Linked DNA regions of Saccharomyces cerevisiae S288C. Changing the gene in region 3 together with the main gene of any one other region gives a genetic interaction. Each region holds a gene or a part of one and is shown on either strand. Other genes may lie near its edges. The genes, in order: RMD6, ARO10, MAS2 and FAA2.

Region 1 (4,032 bases), on a different chromosome or scaffold from region 3:
CTAGGTTGACTTCATCTTGGATGTCTATCGCGATGCATTTAGTGTGGCATAGAATTTCTCTCTTCACGAGCAGGGAAGGAATTGTATTATATTATTTGGTAATCGCCTAGTCACAGTCATTTAGAAGAAACTTAGCATCATTATTCCAGCATCATGCACCAGAACAGGAAAATGCCATTTCTAAAAGTATTCTCATAGCCATTAAACGATTCAATACTTTTTTGGTAGCTAAGTCAATGCCTCTCTGAATATTGTATACTATATGAATAAAGTGATCCCATAATCAGACTACCCAGCACTTAGTAGCGCATTTTAGAACTAAATATATATTGCCTTTTTAATACTGTAACTTGAGAATTCTTAATAAGGAACAACAATGGTCCAGAAGGTGTTCGGTAGAAAGATAGAAAATTTTAAACCATACACTATCAAGCAATATTATACTTGTTCTTTAATCAAGAGGGGATTGTACTTTTATTTGATTTGAGGCCGGGTATCTTGATTTCACTTATGTTATACTGTCTCTTAGTTGATAAATTCAATGTTACATTTGCTATCTCATTTTCAGGTCAGCAGCTATATTGACCTTGCTTACATTCAGCGCGTGTGAGGCACTACCTTTAAAACTCTTGTGCTCCTTATTCACCATAGTCTGTTATCCGTTTGTTCTTACGGAGGAAACTGCAATTGATCATTTATGAATCTTTTAGTGAAATTTAGACACTATTAAAATTTAATAATAGGCAAAGTACGTCAATTATCATTCTTGGTTCCTGAAAAGTTGAATCTGTTATGAAGTCTGATATTTGGGGTTAGCATTGTATACTTCCCTTGAGTAATGCATTATCCGTAACGCCACTTTTACCATATTCAAGTGCAGGTATATTTAGCATTTTTTACATATAATATACTGACCTCCGAAGCTAGGTGAGAGAAAGCAAAGGTTTTGAGGGCTATTTTCACCATTGGAACTAAGATCGTACACACTAATTAACTCTCTGCCGGAGGCGCGCGATATATGGGCTGGAGCGGTCCTGACTAAAGTCCTGCTGGAATATTGGTGAAGTGTCTCAAAAAACTAGTAAGGTCAATATCAGGGAAGGAACTATTATTGGCCGAGGCGGCAGCTAGGTTAAAGAATCTAGCCGTCAATGCAACGAAGGTTATCAAGTACATTCAGTTGGATACATTAAAAAAGTTGAATACAATATCAATTCTAGAAGATTGTAGCAAGTTTGGTGAGATAGTTTACGCCTATAATATATAAGTGCTAACTCAATGTTCAGTTAGTAGAATCACAGCCTGAATATTCTGTGCATCGTTTACTCAGGGACAGATGCGATCTCAATGCAGGGACGAAAAACAGTCTTATATGCGCACGCCAGCAAAATCTTTTTTTGCGGCACCTAAGATCTCTCGCATGATAAAAGCATAATATCTTTGCCCCACAAAGTCAAGGCGTATTGGAAAAGCTACTTTAGTTAATAATGAAATGATCGCCCATCCGGGTAAAAATGGTTACAATTCCAGTGTTGATTATTGTTCGTTTTTCAGAGAGAATAATTTAGATGCTCCTATTGAAGAATATCTTGTTAGCGCATAGGGCAATCATCTACGACTTTAACCGCAACTGCGTCTGTTACCGACATTGGAGGATTGTATGCTCAAATGACCCCTGTGGTGAAGATGAACACTTCTTGCACACTATGGTTGAATCTTGACGGTACCCTCACTCAGAGTTTTATAGTATCACACGACGCTACTCTCCCGCTTGTACATTCATTCTGGCTAGTTTATAATAACGTTAAGGAAATGACACCCATACCTCTCAGAAATCCAATTGGAAATAATATTTGTAAAAGCACGTGATATTGCCTTTTTCTTTTATCTGGTTACCAATATGGGATCAATAACTTTACTTTTGAAGATCTTGTTTTTCCTTCAGATAAGAAATCAAAAAAAGAATATATGCACAAAACAGTATGGATATAATACACCTTACTCTTGGTCGTGATTGAAAACGTAAGGTTCTACATAAATTATTGAGAAAGACTTATTTGAAGATATCGAGAGTCTATCATGCCCTTTGCACAACAAAACTAATGTCAGCTTGCCCTTGCAACATCGTTATACTCCCAGTCGAGATTTTGAAGAATTCATCTAAAGATACTAAGTATAGCTTGTATACAACAATTAATCGAGGATATGATGTCCCAAGACTCAAATATGGCATCATAGTTAGCCCTCGAGTGCACAGCCTTGAGACTTTATTCAGTGATCTGGGCTTTGACAAGAATATAGAGAAATCCTCGCTTTACTTATTATTAAATGATCCTACCTTAGCATACCCTAATTTCCATGAACATTTTGAACAGCTTAAAGGTGAAACAAACAAAGATTTATCTCTACCGACATATTATATTCCGAAGGTCCAGTTTTTGACAGAGGCATTCGATTCAGAACATACCCTAGCAACCATCGGCTACAAACCAAATAATAAGGAGAGTTATGAGATCACAGGTTTTACATCCATGGGTAATGGTTATGGTATAAAACTATTCAATTACAGTGTAATTCATATGATGCGGTCTCATAAGTGTAAAAGAGTGGTTGCAGATATTATCATGGAGCATGACCTATTGGGTTACTATGAAAAGAAGCTTGGCTTTGTAGAGGTGCAAAGGTTCAAAGTTCTCAAAGAACAGCACCAAGTAAAGGTATTTGACGATAAAGTTGACTTTACCAAAGACTTTCATGTGATCAAAATGATTAAAGAGTTGGGAAATCATAGATTGTAGTGGTATAGTCCCGTACACACTCTATTTGAATAAACTGTAGGTTCTGCTGAGCAACATATTGATATAAACAGTAAAAAGAAGTGGGTTCCTTGTTTTCCTGCAATTATAACTAACCGTGCTTACTACCAAAAAAAAAGTGCGTATAAATATTCACTATTTACAATGTTGAAGGTTCCAGATGGATACAGAATAGGAATCCTAAATATAAACACTATATTTATTTATTTTTTTCGAATAAAAGTCATGTTAGCAATATTTATATAGTTGATTTTCCTGCATTTATTATATAATTGGCGGCATAGTAACATCAAAAAAAAAAAAAAAAACATTCAAATTGCACTACTTATAGCAGTAGCATCTATAAAAGTTTTATGATATAAACCTTTACAGTTATCTCAAATGGTTTTGGGATTGTCCATCAAATCAAGCGTGATTCATCTATACGTTATTATTCTCCTACAACCCCCTTAGTTTGGAGAGCGCTTAGAGAAATAAAGCATCGATGTTTTCTTACCTTCACTAAAATCAAAATAAAAAAGCTTTTCTATAGTTCACGAATTACGCAATTTATTCTATCATCCTTAAAGTTGATCAATTGCGATTTTAACACACATTTTCAAATGTCATTTTGCGCTTGTATAATAGGTGCCATCTGGACACTTTATAAAAAATAAAGGAAAAGTAAAATATAATGCTGAAAATATAGTTGCCTTAAAATGCCATTGATATGATTTTTTTTTAACCTTAAATCTATTGGCCTATAATATTCGCGGCAAAATGAGCATTTGAAAATCAGTAATAGAATGCTATCAAACTTCGTTCATGACCTTTTTAGCATCATAAGTGTTGAATCGAATCTATCAGTTCAGTAATTAAAAATACTATTTTTCTGTCAGCACAGAACGTAACGACTTTTCCTTATATCCACTATTGATTTCTCTTTAAAGTGCTATGTAAAGTACCTAAAAAACTTGTTATAGAAGTCTCATTCGAAAGCATGTGGGCTCAAAAATTGTGAATAAGATACATAGAAGGAGCCGCTGATCGACACATAATAGTAGAGTTGAACCTAGTTGGTTCAACCATTATCATAGTTATACGAATAAAGCCACAATATAAATGGCCAACCGCTGTTGTCAAACAAGACTATAGGTTCATTTTAACCTGGCGTGCAGTACGCTGGTCTTGCTAACGCCTCTACAATACGTACAGTGCAGGTTTTGACGAATGAAAG
Region 2 (5,493 bases), on a different chromosome or scaffold from region 3:
CCAAAAAGCAAAATTCTAATGATACAGCCACTAATAGACGCATAAATGGTTCATTTACAAGTTCAAGCTCGGGGCATCATATAGCAATGTTCCGTACGCCGCCTTTGGAATCAGGGCCATTATTTAAGAGGCCATCTCTGTCATCTGAGTCCGCACACCACAGATCTTCTAGCTTACAGACGTCTAGATCCACTAATGCATTGTTGGAAGACGATTCCACGAAAGTGGATGCTACTGATGAAAGCGCTACAAGCTTGGAAAAGGACTTTTACTTTACTGAGTTGACTTTAAGGAAGTTAAAATTAGATGTGAGGGAACTAGAAGGTACGAAGAAAAAATTATTACAAGATGTTGAAAATCTAAGATTAGCGAAAGAGAGGCTGTTAAATGATGTTGACAATTTAACAAGAGAAAAGGATAAGCAATCTGCATCTTCCCGGGAGTCCTTAGAACAAAAAGAAAACATTGCAACATCAATCACTGTAAAGTCACCAAGTTCAAATTCCGACAGAAAAGGGAGCATATCTAATGCCAGTCCTAAACCACGCTTCTGGAAAATATTTTCAAGTGCTAAGGATCACCAGGTAGGCGATCTAGAATCACAGCAACGTTCGCCAAATTCATCTTCAGGCGGAACGACAAATATAGCACAGAAAGAAATATCATCACCGAAATTAATTCGAGTACACGATGAGCTTCCTTCTCCAGGCAAAGTACCACTGTCGCCAAGTCCAAAGAGATTAGATTATACGCCTGATGGTTCCCATTTATATGGATCTTCGCTACAAGCTCGATGTGCGTATGAAAAAAGTACTGTTCCAATAATTATCAGGTGCTGCATTGATCGCATTGAAAAAGATGATATAGGCCTGAACATGGAAGGCTTATACAGAAAGTCGGGCTCACAGACTTTGGTTGAGGAGATCGAAAATGAATTCGCTCAGAATAATTCGTTGCATAGTGATACATTAAGTCCCAAACTGAATGCTTTACTGAATCAAGATATTCATGCAGTGGCTAGCGTATTAAAACGATATTTGAGAAAACTACCAGATCCAGTTTTATCATTTTCCATATACGATGCCTTGATAGATCTAGTTAGAAATAACCAACTAATTGAGAGGCTACCATTAAACAACGACAAGTTTTTGGATTCACCACAAAAAGTGACTATTTATGAAATGGTGCTCAAAAGCCTACTTGAAATTTTCAAAATTTTACCCGTAGAGCATCAGGAAGTATTGAAAGTATTGGCAGCACATATCGGCAAAGTTCGAAGGTGCAGTGAAAGAAATTTAATGAACTTACATAACTTGTCGTTGGTCTTTGCACCGAGTCTTATCCACGATTTTGACGGCGAGAAAGATATTGTGGACATGAAGGAGAGGAATTATATCGTGGAATTTATACTTGGAAACTATAGAGACATATTTAAGCAAGCATAATACAGATTTGCAAAAGTTAAATAAACATAGGATAGATTAAATAAGAAATCATATGAAAAAAGAATAAAGTAAGAAAATAGTTCAATGTATATTCGTCAGTTCAGGGTGTGAAAAGGTGGCAATTTTTTTGTTTCCGACCCGTAACAAGTGTTCAATGGTGGTGAAGTCTTTTCTTGGCAAATTTCTATACTTCCCAAATTCTTCATGAATATAATTCACAAAATTAACTTGGTTTTCCTTTGGTTTTGTATGAGCCGTTCGTATGGAAGCCCTATACAGGTGTAAGACTTCTTTTTGTAACCCACTTAATCTCTTAGGCATGCTCTTGGTATTGCGTCTCCTCTTCTTCTTGTGTGTTTAAGCTACATTATCTTTGTTAAGAATAATTTGGCGAACCCCTTTTTTTCTTCGGCTTTGCAAGGTTAATTAATTAACATCTACCAGTTTTACTACATTTTAGATTGGTTCGTCCACCGAAATTTAAAAAAGCAGGATTGAAAGCGTACAACAACGTCTTAGCGAAAAAGATAATCCAAAATTCGATGCTTGTACACCTCATGTAGCTTCCTTATTAACATTTGGTAGTAGGCTTAGGCTATTTTTTGAAAAAGCCGTCATATATTACTTTGAGCCTTTGCGAATCCTCTCCAAAGTGTCGGTTACCTACCGGGAGGGATAACCGCGGATAGCCGTCATTTACCGAAAATTGCCGAGGTCATGCTGAGCATTTGTCGTACTTTTGTGCGGCGGAGCTTTGATACCTTCGGTAAGTGTCGGTATGTAATAGGTTAGTGGCATCTTATTTATTGTGTTGAGTAAAGTTTAAGATATAAACTGGGCTAGTTTGCATCGTCACTACAGCGGCAGCTCACTTTCATTTTTTTTCTGCGTTTATTAATACTACATAAAATCTGATATAAAACATATTTAACTGATCAACCCTCTCAACTTGATACTCAAAACAAGTTGACGCGACTTCTGTAAAGTTTATTTACAAGATAACAAAGAAACTCCCTTAAGCATGGCACCTGTTACAATTGAAAAGTTCGTAAATCAAGAAGAACGACACCTTGTTTCCAACCGATCAGCAACAATTCCGTTTGGTGAATACATATTTAAAAGATTGTTGTCCATCGATACGAAATCAGTTTTCGGTGTTCCTGGTGACTTCAACTTATCTCTATTAGAATATCTCTATTCACCTAGTGTTGAATCAGCTGGCCTAAGATGGGTCGGCACGTGTAATGAACTGAACGCCGCTTATGCGGCCGACGGATATTCCCGTTACTCTAATAAGATTGGCTGTTTAATAACCACGTATGGCGTTGGTGAATTAAGCGCCTTGAACGGTATAGCCGGTTCGTTCGCTGAAAATGTCAAAGTTTTGCACATTGTTGGTGTGGCCAAGTCCATAGATTCGCGTTCAAGTAACTTTAGTGATCGGAACCTACATCATTTGGTCCCACAGCTACATGATTCAAATTTTAAAGGGCCAAATCATAAAGTATATCATGATATGGTAAAAGATAGAGTCGCTTGCTCGGTAGCCTACTTGGAGGATATTGAAACTGCATGTGACCAAGTCGATAATGTTATCCGCGATATTTACAAGTATTCTAAACCTGGTTATATTTTTGTTCCTGCAGATTTTGCGGATATGTCTGTTACATGTGATAATTTGGTTAATGTTCCACGTATATCTCAACAAGATTGTATAGTATACCCTTCTGAAAACCAATTGTCTGACATAATCAACAAGATTACTAGTTGGATATATTCCAGTAAAACACCTGCGATCCTTGGAGACGTACTGACTGATAGGTATGGTGTGAGTAACTTTTTGAACAAGCTTATCTGCAAAACTGGGATTTGGAATTTTTCCACTGTTATGGGAAAATCTGTAATTGATGAGTCAAACCCAACTTATATGGGTCAATATAATGGTAAAGAAGGTTTAAAACAAGTCTATGAACATTTTGAACTGTGCGACTTGGTCTTGCATTTTGGAGTCGACATCAATGAAATTAATAATGGGCATTATACTTTTACTTATAAACCAAATGCTAAAATCATTCAATTTCATCCGAATTATATTCGCCTTGTGGACACTAGGCAGGGCAATGAGCAAATGTTCAAAGGAATCAATTTTGCCCCTATTTTAAAAGAACTATACAAGCGCATTGACGTTTCTAAACTTTCTTTGCAATATGATTCAAATGTAACTCAATATACGAACGAAACAATGCGGTTAGAAGATCCTACCAATGGACAATCAAGCATTATTACACAAGTTCACTTACAAAAGACGATGCCTAAATTTTTGAACCCTGGTGATGTTGTCGTTTGTGAAACAGGCTCTTTTCAATTCTCTGTTCGTGATTTCGCGTTTCCTTCGCAATTAAAATATATATCGCAAGGATTTTTCCTTTCCATTGGCATGGCCCTTCCTGCCGCCCTAGGTGTTGGAATTGCCATGCAAGACCACTCAAACGCTCACATCAATGGTGGCAACGTAAAAGAGGACTATAAGCCAAGATTAATTTTGTTTGAAGGTGACGGTGCAGCACAGATGACAATCCAAGAACTGAGCACCATTCTGAAGTGCAATATTCCACTAGAAGTTATCATTTGGAACAATAACGGCTACACTATTGAAAGAGCCATCATGGGCCCTACCAGGTCGTATAACGACGTTATGTCTTGGAAATGGACCAAACTATTTGAAGCATTCGGAGACTTCGACGGAAAGTATACTAATAGCACTCTCATTCAATGTCCCTCTAAATTAGCACTGAAATTGGAGGAGCTTAAGAATTCAAACAAAAGAAGCGGGATAGAACTTTTAGAAGTCAAATTAGGCGAATTGGATTTCCCCGAACAGCTAAAGTGCATGGTTGAAGCAGCGGCACTTAAAAGAAATAAAAAATAGAAACTTGTGGGCGCAATTATAAAACACTGCTACCAATTGTTCGTTTTCTGTTCATTAACACATAAAAAACCCTTATGTAACTATATTTACAAAGTAAATACGTATATTAAAGCTATTTTACCACTACCACAGAGTTCTTTGTCCAGTTGCTAGTATTTTTTTTTTCGCGACGAGGCAGGGGCGGGGAGACGTGTTGTTTTTCCACGGCTTTCGGCTCACCACTTGAAGAACTATAAAAGGCCGCCAAATTTATCCTTTTTCACTTCTTCCGTTCGCTTTTTTCTGTCATTCCTATCGTGTGTTTAGTAGTAGGTTTTTTTGTTAGAAGAAGTTTTATCCGAAAACTATCGAAGACAAATAGATAAAAAAATCTCCCTCGTTCTATTTGAAACTTTAAGAAATCCATATTAAGAAAATACCTACATCTGCTAAATGTCTGCTAACTTAGATAAATCCTTAGACGAAATCATTGGCTCTAACAAAGCAGGAAGTAATAGAGCCCGTGTCGGTGGTACTCGTGGTAACGGTCCAAGAAGAGTTGGTAAGCAAGTTGGTAGCCAACGTAGGAGCCTTCCAAACAGAAGAGGCCCTATCAGAAAAAATACTAGGGCACCTCCAAACGCAGTCGCTAGAGTTGCCAAGCTCTTGGACACCACTAGAGAGGTCAAGGTCAACGTCGAAGGTTTGCCAAGGGACATTAAGCAGGATGCTGTAAGAGTATGTTAATACGTGAAATGAGAGCTATTTGTTTAGTTACTCGCATCGTCTCGTGTGGATACGAGAAATATTCTTTGTAAGGAAGGATATGGCACACGCTTTTGATCAAGAATTCTCTTTTTAGAGATGAAGAAAGAGTCCGAAATACTTCGCTAGAGAAAATACAAAAAGAGTATCGTTTTCATAAGCCAACCATACCAATTTTTTTCAATACTTCAAATCATGGCCTATAAGGTTGGAATTACCAGCTACCACTGAGAATGGGTTTGTTCTTATTGGCTGGGTTAACTCAAATCAATCTGACTATCTGCTAATCTGTCAATCTTACATTTTTAAGCTGGCGTATTGTGTCGCCTCGACCGTGATAGTTAGTTCCTATTTTTAATAAGCGTATCATCCAAT
Region 3 (4,688 bases):
GCAAGGGAATGAACTGCGGCTAAGAGAACATATTCATGCACTAAAACAAGCTGAAGAGGACGTAAAGAATATGGCGTCTATCATTGAAAAATTGAAAACTCAAAATAAGCAAAAGGAAAAGTTAATCTGGGAGCGCGAAATGGAAAGAAATGACTCAGATATGCAATTACAGGAAACTCTGCTGGAGTTGAAGAGAGTCCAAGATGTAAAGAAAATCCTGAGTGATGATTTGGCCCATTTAAAGGAGCGATTGAGCGCTGTAGAAGATAGATCCCAATATACGGATGAGATTAATAGATTAAAGGAAGAATTGAACTGCTCTTTAAAAGCTGAAACAAACTTAAAAAAAGAATTTGCAACCCTTAAGTACAAACTGGAAACTTCGACTAATGATTCTGAAGCAAAAATCTCCGATCTGCTGAAGCAGCTCGATCATTATACAAAAGTGGTGGAAATGTTGAACAACGAAAAAGATGCTATTTCTCTTGCAGAAAAAGAACTTTATCAGAAATACGAGGCACTCAATACTGAATGCGAGTCTCTTAAAGGAAAGATAGTGTCTTTGACTAAAATCAAGCAGGAACTGGAATCTGACTTAAATCAAAAGACTGATGCGCTACAGATATCAAACGCAGCACTCTCAAGTTCCACACAAAAGAATAAAGAGATTACTGAAAAAATCAAATATCTGGAGGAAACACTACAACTGCAAATGGAACAAAATTCAAGGAATGGGGAGTTGGTTAAGACATTACAGGCCAGCTGCAATGGATATAAAGATAAGTTTGATGATGAGAAGCAGAAGAATATTGATTTATATGAAGAAAATCAAACTTTACAAAAGCTCAACACCGACTTACAGCTTCAACTAAAAAATTTGCATGAAAGATTATCAGACACTACTGAAAAAAACGCATGGTTATCAAAGATTCATGAATTGGAAAATATGGTAAGCCTAGAAACGGACTTGAAATATGAAGAAATGAAAAAGAACAAGAGTTTGGAGAGAGCAGTGGAAGAGTTACAAACTAAGAACTCCCAACAAACAGATGTAATAGAACTAGCGAATAAAAATAGAAGCGAATTTGAGGAAGCTACTTTGAAATATGAGGCTCAAATCTCTGACTTAGAAAAGTACATTTCTCAACAAGAGCTTGAGATGAAAAAATCCATTAGAGATAATTCTTCTTACCGCGACAAAGTGCAGGAAATGGCCCAAGAAATTGAATTCTGGAAAAGCCGTTATGAATCTACCATGATAGGCTCGAAAAATATTGATAGTAACAATGCACAGAGTAAAATTTTCAGTTAACGAACTTTTTTTTAAAAATTTGGAAGACTTTATATCCTTTATTTAAAAAAATAATGATGAGATGTTTTGTATATACAGAATGAGAATATGCATTATTAACAGAAAAAGACGACACGAGCGTTATATACTAAGTGGCATGAACTCTTTCACCCCGTATCCTTCGATAGTAGTCTTAAAGGTGGTACATAAAATAAAGAAAATAACCGATTCAATAGATAAGCAGCGGAAATAAAGTCTTTTTCCTATCTTGAAATCTCCAAAATAAAAGTAATAAAGTACTGCTAAAGTTGTTCAAAACCAACCCTTCTTCTTGGGACTATCGTTTTTGGAGGAGGAGCTGTTACCCAATCCATATGCCTTCAGTACATTTTCCACATCTCCAAAGGATCCTCTGTCTCCTTGCATTACAACAGTAGCTCTACCCTTACCATTGCCAGCATTATTTACATTTCCCGTAAATATCATTTCGGCAACACGTGAGATATCATCTGGCTTCAAATCTTCGATCTTACTTATCATTTCGTTGACTGGGATTTTGCGACCATGCATGAGAACTTGTCTGCCCATATCTTCCAATTCTACCAGTTTAGACTCTAGGTTCATTAGTAGTGAAGACTTCAACTGATTCTTGGCCCTGGAGACTTCGTCTTCAGTTAACCTCAAATCCTTATTAGCAAATGTATTATACATTTGCTGTGCAATTACCTCAACCGCTTGAGGAGCTGCCTGCGGTATACAAGATAATGAAATACCGAAAATACCAGAATCCGAATAAGAATGGTTGAACGCAACACAATTTTCAACAAAGTAATACTGGTTCAAAACGTGGGTATACAAACGAGAATACATCCCCTTTCCTGGCCCACCAGCACTGAAAGAACCACCACCTCCAAGTAAAGTTTGTAATGTTGCTAAAGCATAAATGTCTGGATGATCTATAGGGAGACCTTCAAATCCGATCTGGATGTGGAATAATTCTGGTAAATTCCCAAACACTGGTGCTGGTGGAATACAACTTTCCCCGCCCGTATATTGGGCAACTTTTTTGGTGATCGGAGGGTGTGTAGATTGCCAGTCACCGAGATACTTTTCTGTAAGCTCTAATGCCTTTTCGTGAGGAACACCAACAAATGCCGCAACAGTATTTTCTGGGGTGTAGAATTTATTTCTGTAGTCCAATAAGTAGTATTTAGAAATAGAAGGAATGAGCTCTCTAGGGCAGATTAAAGGGGACCCCAAAGTTTCTCCGGAGTATGCTGCTGTGTGCAACAGCTCAGGTAATACCAATTCTGGCTTCATCCAAACTTCATCGATTTCATACTCTGCCGACAGCTTCTGTTCTTGCAGTTCTTGCTCAGTAATCTTAGGGAACCTCACAGTTTCTGACATTAATTGAAGCATTTTACCCACATCCTGGTTGAACACAGAAGCCTGATACATCAAATTTTCTCTAGACGAGGTACACTGGTAATTCCCACCCAGTAACTCCAACGTCTCTGCCATTGCTCGGCCCTCGACGTGTTCGGTTGATTTGAATGCTAGTCTATCCAAGATATGTGTACAACCCTTCAAATTCCTACCTTCAAACCGTGATCCTGCGTCGATGTATAGGCCTAAGGCACTAAAGTGTCCAGGAGTATTTGATGTCGCCACTTTCAGTCCATTCGCTAGTGACGAAAGCTTAAAATTATCGGTTCTAGCGATGTTAGAGTACAACCTCTGAACGCCGTTCCTTAGCATCTTTTGTTATTAATCAGCTCTCTGCTTTGCATTAATTTGACCACCTGCCCTGAAACACCTTTCTTCTAGTCCACCTGTGTAGGCTTTTTCACCTGAATTGTTCATTCTCGATACGCCCTCACGCCGGATGAAAAATTTGTGCAAGAGTCATCATCTCGAAAAGATATGGTGATAAAAACAAGTGTACTTCTAACCTGCCTAATGGTTATAACAGTAGCATAAAGTAGATATACGGACTACAGAAAATGGTTCGTGCCTTCAAAATTAAAGTTCCAGCTTCTTCCGCCAATATCGGCCCTGGTTATGATGTTCTTGGTGTCGGTCTTTCTCTATTCTTGGAGTTAGATGTCACCATCGACTCCAGCCAAGCTCAGGAAACAAACGACGATCCCAACAACTGCAAGCTGTCTTACACTAAAGAAAGTGAAGGCTATTCTACGGTCCCATTGCGTTCTGATGCTAACCTGATTACCAGGACTGCGTTATATGTGTTGCGTTGCAACAATATTAGAAACTTCCCCTCCGGAACCAAAGTTCACGTCTCCAACCCAATCCCACTTGGCCGTGGATTGGGTTCCTCTGGTGCAGCAGTTGTGGCAGGTGTTATTTTAGGTAACGAAGTGGCCCAATTGGGTTTCTCTAAGCAACGTATGTTGGACTACTGTTTGATGATTGAACGTCATCCAGACAACATAACCGCTGCTATGATGGGAGGCTTTTGCGGTTCATTCCTAAGGGACTTGACCCCACAAGAGGTGGAAAGACGTGAGATTCCATTGGCTGAGGTGCTTCCAGAACCTTCTGGTGGTGAAGATACCGGTCTGGTTCCCCCATTACCTCCCACCGATATCGGTAGACATGTCAAATACCAATGGAACCCCGCCATTAAATGTATTGCGATCATCCCACAGTTCGAGTTGTCCACCGCCGACTCCAGAGGCGTTCTTCCAAAAGCCTACCCAACCCAGGACTTGGTTTTCAATCTACAAAGATTGGCCGTCTTGACCACAGCTTTGACCATGGACCCACCTAATGCCGACTTAATCTACCCTGCTATGCAAGATCGTGTCCACCAACCTTATAGAAAGACATTGATCCCAGGTCTCACGGAAATCTTATCATGTGTCACCCCATCCACATACCCTGGCCTATTGGGTATCTGCTTGTCAGGTGCAGGCCCAACTATCTTGGCTTTGGCCACTGAGAATTTCGAAGAAATCTCTCAAGAAATTATCAACAGGTTCGCCAAAAACGGCATCAAGTGCTCCTGGAAACTACTGGAGCCTGCCTACGATGGTGCTAGCGTCGAACAGCAATGAAATGTCCTTTACCCCTAGTATACTGTGTTAAATACTATTGTAGACCATATACATACTGTAATTGACCGTTAACGGTTATTATGCTGAGTCTTCTTCCGTTACCCGTCTTTTCTATCTATTTCGAAAATAAAAAATAAGTGAAAAGAACGAAATTTCACAACCATTAACAATACAGATAATGAATCGAAGTTGTTTTCAGTCTCAATTCAAAAGACTCATAGCCAAGGCCAGTTGATTGATTTAGCCACAAGTATCATTCAACGTAATATCCACAGGTGTTTTTTTTCTCACCGGAAGGCGAATAAAATACAGGAGCT
Region 4 (5,243 bases), on a different chromosome or scaffold from region 3:
TCATTCAGGTTTCCGGAACACCTACTCTAGTTGACCTATAGAAGATACAAGGCGTCTCTTTCAGGTAAGAAGATGCCTCTCAGATGTCTTTGACTTTTCTTTATTGTTCTAGGCAAAGTGTTCTTTATACCTGTATGTATGCATCAGCAGATTGACCGGTAACATGAAAGTCTGAAAAAATCCCTGTAATGTTGTTGTCAACACATGAAAAGTTCCGTATCTTCTTTATTGGAAATCGTTAGAAGCCCTGGTTTTGCTCCTAATGGCGATTTAGCATATGCTAATTAAATCTTAAGCAAAGAGTTGTTGAACGAACCCAGACGAAATCTGTTTCTGGTTGCGTGATTTTTCTTTAGGTAGAAACACTGGAATAATTCAAGCGGGTTTCCCAGGATATCTTATTTTCAAATGATCTTTTCTTTTCTGTGGGTGAGACTACATTTTTCAAAGAGAGCATGTCCATAGTGGCAACAAGTGTGAATACGGGAAGTGAAGAGGGATAATTTTTGAATGAGTAGAGCTTCAGTCAGTCGCTCATGCAGTTTTAGCGGAGACAGAAATTCTATCTACATGGATTTCTCTGATCAGCGATATGGGGTACGCCTTCATTATTTTCTTTTAGCTAAGTCTATCATATATAAGCAACTATTCAATGGTCAAATTAACTTCAATCTCTGTCGCCGCATCCCCGATTACTATCACTTTATCTCCGTCAGATGAGAAAGGTTTACCTTTGCTGAGTTAGGTGATTACGCCCCGATATCAGGGCTCACTACATGGAAAACACTGCACCTCCATCTGAAACAGACCTCAGTTGAAGTTGTGGGAGCCGTTTTCAATCATCTTGACCCGTAGTGCACCAAGTCAAGTTACGAGAATGGTAACTGTGACCCATGTACTCCGCTAGATTGACCAGCTATATCTAGCGCTTTATGAAAGTGCAGTATCTACACTGTGGTTCCAACATAGAGAGCATTGCTTTCACTAATTGATCCTCATATATTATAGAAAGCCGCGAAAAAAAGCTTAAGAAGAATATTTAATGGTATAAATAGTTGGAATTATGTATGTCTTTAATCTTATAGTTCTTTAACAAAGTACAATAGTCTTGTGTGCTGTAGTAACGAAAGCAGGTTTATAACTACTGTTAGTCCATTATACACAGTGAGCGTTCACTATGTATACCGTATGGATGTGCATAGGGATATCCTACATCAAAGTTTTTTCTAGTTTGAATGTGTTCCAAATCGTCATAAGTACCTAAAGCTTTTCTGTCTTGACTAGTGAACCTTCGGCGTATAGTTGGTCTAATGTATCTTTGAAGAATTTTGATGCTTTGGCACGCTTTATTTTAAAAGTTGGCGTCACAACATCATCCTCGAGAGTTAAAGGCTCAAGTCCGACTTTGATGTTATGCAATTTTTCGAATCCTTGTAGCCCATCGGTGCATTTATTAATTTTGTTTAAAAATTCCTTCCTTAGCTTTTTATTACGATTTAAGTTTTCTACTAGCACTTCCTTAGTCCACGTTTTCACCTCTGGGTGCTTTGCAGCTAAAATCGGTTGCGCTGCATCAACATCAACACCAACGATGCCAACTAAAAATGTCTTTAAAGGATCTCCAAAGACAAATATTTGCGTGATATAGGGGCATGATGATAAATAAATATTTTCGATTTTCTCTGGAGCAATATATTCACCATGTGCTAGCTTGAAAAAGTTCTTGACTCGATCAATGACGCTGATGCGACCTTTTCCATCGATAAATGCAACATCTCCCGTGGAAAACCAACCATCTTGGTCAACGGCTTTTGAAGTTTCATTCGGATTTTTAAAATATCTTTCAAAAACCTGTGGGCCACGAATTTGCAGTTCACCTTTTAAATCCTTGTCGGCATGGTAACCCATTTCTGGAACAGACTTCAATCTACATTCTGCAGAAATACCTATGGCACCACAAGATCCGACATCTTTTTCAAACGGTTCGCTTAAACAGACACCAGCAAAAGTTTCAGTTAAGCCGTAGCCCTGTCTTATACCAATATCCAAGGCACTTCTTAAAAATAGTAAGGTATCTTTAGATATGGGAGCTGATCCGGTAATTATAAACGAGTTATTGGACAAACCTAAAGAGTCTCTGATTTTATCAATCAATACGCGATGATAAACTAGAAAATTCATAATCGATTTATCTGGACCACCTCTTGCGGTAAATCTGGCCGATTTAGAATCCAATATAGTATTTGCTACGTTCCTCTGGACAGTCGATTTATCCAAAGCGTTTTTTATACCGGCTTCAAACCGTGTTAATATTCTAGGAACCAGGGCAACCGCGTAAGGTTTCAAAATCTTCAAATCCTCTACCAATACAGTTGGGTCTGGTTTATGTAAGAAGCCTATTCCAAACCCGATGGCTAGATCATACGCAATAACCATTCTTTCAAAAATATGAGCCAATGGCAAAAAACACATATCATATAACTGTTGGTTTCTTTTATCTGGCGGTATTCTGAAGGTAGAAAAAGCAAATGCTATCCCAGACGCAATGTTTCTGTGAGACATTTCCACACCTTTAGGTAAACCTGTAGTACCAGAAGTAAACGAAATAGTATACAAGGAATCTGGGGTAGGTGGAATTGCAGGAATTTTGTTAAAGCAACCAACTTGTTCTACCTGCTCCAATGAAAAAAATGTGATTTTTTCATTGAGAGAGTTGCACTTAACGGGTAGCAACGATTCATTTAGCATACGGAGCTCGTCATGAGTTAATTCATCCATACAAACCAAAGTATTAACAAATTTCATATCAGGCACCATCTTCAATACATGATACATATTTGATTTTGCAAAAATCAGAATGGGGGCCTCGGTTAAATTCAATATGTACTCGGAGGTGTTTGGACCTAATGTTTCGTACAAAGCCGTGTTAGTTAGAGAATAGGCCTGACAGGCCAAATCTGTTAGGATCCATTCAGGGTTGTTGTGTGATAAGATAGCAACAACAAAATCATTGGCTTCCAAAGGACGTTTCCTTTTCGTGTTTACCAAAGACAATATACCACTTCCGATATTATGACATCTTTTAGATACCGTGGAGTACGACTCGAAACGGAATGTTTCCTCCCAGGTGCCTGTGGCTTTATCAATTGGCCTTGAACCTAAACAGTCACGTTGAGGCCATCTCCTTGCAGAAAACATGAAGTGATCGTATGCAGTTCTTAAGTTTTTATCCACACAGCTCACTAGATTTTCAGAAGAAAGAGAACTCCTATAAATCGAGCTAAAACCAGCTTCATTATCCGGATTCGAAATGGCAACCGCCTGTTTCTTTAAAAATGTTTTGTACCTGGGATAGCTGGTCAGTGGTAATTGAGAGTATAGCTCTTCAATATATTCATCAGAGCCTTTGGTGTAACCGGCTAATCTTGTCTTCAAACTTTCGAAACGAGGATCCGATTCAATTAAATCGGTAAGTGCATAATCTGGAGCGGCCATATTTCGAAACAAGTTTGTTCTTATCCGTTTTTTGTAACCTGCATTCTTCCACTTCCCTTAGCCATGCGTTTCCGATGCTTTATATAGTTCCAACCCATCATCGCTCAACTCCGCAATTAATATTGAGTTCCCTCGTTTTGACTCCAACCCATCATCGGCGGCTCGGCGTTAAAGACTGACGGTCCGGAGGATGTTCTGAAAAATTTGGTTAATATAAATAAATTGTGTCTTTTGATACTAACTACTTTTTCTTATTAGCTGATAACTGCCTCAATTGTCAAAAGAAGTAGTTTGCGTAAAGCTAACCATATATATACGTACTTATTTGCTTAGCTGTAAGGCGTCGTTAAAGCCGTCTACAATAACGTCAGGGACACCGGGACTTCTAGAAAATCCCATTCCCCCCACAGAAACTGTTTGGCCGTAAGATTCTTGCAACTTCCTTTCAGCTCTTTCTTGCCATGCGTCATAACCTACATGAAATCTTGGCAGACATCTATCGGCGATAGTGAATTCCCACTGACCAGCTTCCAGATCCTTGTTACTGATGCCGAGGTGGTTGTTCAGCGCATCTTTGACTGCATTAATGGTTACCTCCCTGGATGGCACTACAGGAACACCGTGTTCATTGAGCATACAACCTCCTATCATCGCAGTCACTTTTGTATATTTGTTGAGGGCGTTTGGGTTTGTGGAGAGTTTGTCAAAAAGTGGTTTGAAATTCCTTTCGATAACAGAATCGAAAATTACACCAAGCAATTTCCCTGGATTCTTATTGGATTTGGGAACCAAGTATCCAAAGCCTTGTAGATCGGCATCTATTACATCTTTGTTTGGCAAATAATAATTAACTAAAATTATTGTGTTTGATTGTATCTCATCTAATAACTTGGATAATGAATTTTGATCCTTCGGTAGCAATTTAGCGATTTTGGGAGGTGTTATCGTAAGTCTTAAATGGTCAAATGTTTCGTATTGGTCGCCAGATTTCGCTTTCAATCCGATTGTCGTTTCGTTAGCAGGGCGTTTCATTATTTGCGTAACCGGGTTCCCAGTAACTATTTTGACGTTTTTAAATTCGTTCAAAGCATTTCTGACTATCTTGGGAAACGTTTCTAGTCCCCCAGCAAGACCCAACATGGGATATTTCTTTAGCGTGTTGGATAAGTCTAATAACTTTGACCTGTCTTTTCCAAACGCATTTGAGTAGTCGTTAAGGCAGCCAGTTAAAGATTGGTGCAGGTTCTCAGTTTTTTTACTTCTTGACTTTCCGCGCATATTATCAATCATAGCTTGTGTGTTAGATCCGTGCTTTAGTTCATTGTAGTATATTTTCTTAAACGTTCTCTTGGCACTTAATAGGGAAACGTCATCCCCATAGATACCTCTTAGTAAGGCACTGATCATATTGTTTGATATGTAGTTATTCCCAAACCTTCTGTCACAAATGGATTCGACACTTTCGTCTTGGCCAGGATGTGGAGATTTTTTTCTGAACCATTCTCCCATCATACCCGTGATGAGTCCTTTTCCCAACGGATTCAGCAGAAATTTTACTGTTGTAGATATCGAATTAGGAACCTGCACGAGTTTATCACTGGGGTCTAGTAGAAACTTTTTGTCTGCAATGCAACCTTTATCAATGCTTTGAATAACTGCTTCCTTGCCCAAGTCTTTAAGGGTATCCATAATCAGAACGGTCCCGTCTGATACGCCCCTCAATGTTCTGGGTCCCTTCTCCAACATAA

The links.
Region 1: mutations in MAS2 (region 3) and RMD6 together harm fitness more than expected from each alone (negative genetic interaction), as found in Saccharomyces cerevisiae (one large-scale study listed by BioGRID).
Region 2: mutations in MAS2 (region 3) and ARO10 together harm fitness more than expected from each alone (negative genetic interaction), as found in Saccharomyces cerevisiae (one large-scale study listed by BioGRID).
Region 4: mutations in MAS2 (region 3) and FAA2 together harm fitness more than expected from each alone (negative genetic interaction), as found in Saccharomyces cerevisiae (one large-scale study listed by BioGRID).

Annotation. Positions count from the first base shown.
Region 1 is NC_001137.3:11,618-15,649, forward strand, and holds RMD6 (Rmd6p), read left to right. Parts: upstream 1-2,102; coding exon 2,103-2,798; downstream 2,799-4,032. UniProt on the Saccharomyces cerevisiae protein: Required for sporulation. Required for meiotic nuclear division.
Region 2 is NC_001136.10:1,231,752-1,237,244, forward strand, and holds ARO10 (phenylpyruvate decarboxylase ARO10), read left to right. Parts: upstream 1-2,466; coding exon 2,467-4,374; downstream 4,375-5,493. Other genes in the region: GTPase-activating protein RGA2, read left to right, coding at 1-1,445; SDH6 (Sdh6p), read right to left, coding at 1,527-1,766; RNA-binding protein YRA1, read left to right, coding at 4,807-5,091. UniProt on the Saccharomyces cerevisiae protein: One of five 2-oxo acid decarboxylases (PDC1, PDC5, PDC6, ARO10, and THI3) involved in amino acid catabolism.
Region 3 is NC_001140.6:156,141-160,828, forward strand, and holds MAS2 (mitochondrial-processing protease subunit alpha), read right to left. Parts: upstream 3,053-4,688; coding exon 1,604-3,052; downstream 1-1,603. Other genes in the region: MYO1 (myosin 1), read left to right, coding at 1-1,312; THR1 (homoserine kinase), read left to right, coding at 3,298-4,371.
Region 4 is NC_001137.3:182,793-188,035, reverse strand, and holds FAA2 (medium-chain fatty acid-CoA ligase FAA2), read right to left. Parts: upstream 3,496-5,243; coding exon 1,261-3,495; downstream 1-1,260. Other genes in the region: BUD25 (Bud25p), read left to right, coding at 3,336-3,358, 3,867-4,305; HEM14 (oxygen-dependent protoporphyrinogen oxidase), read right to left, coding at 3,817-5,243.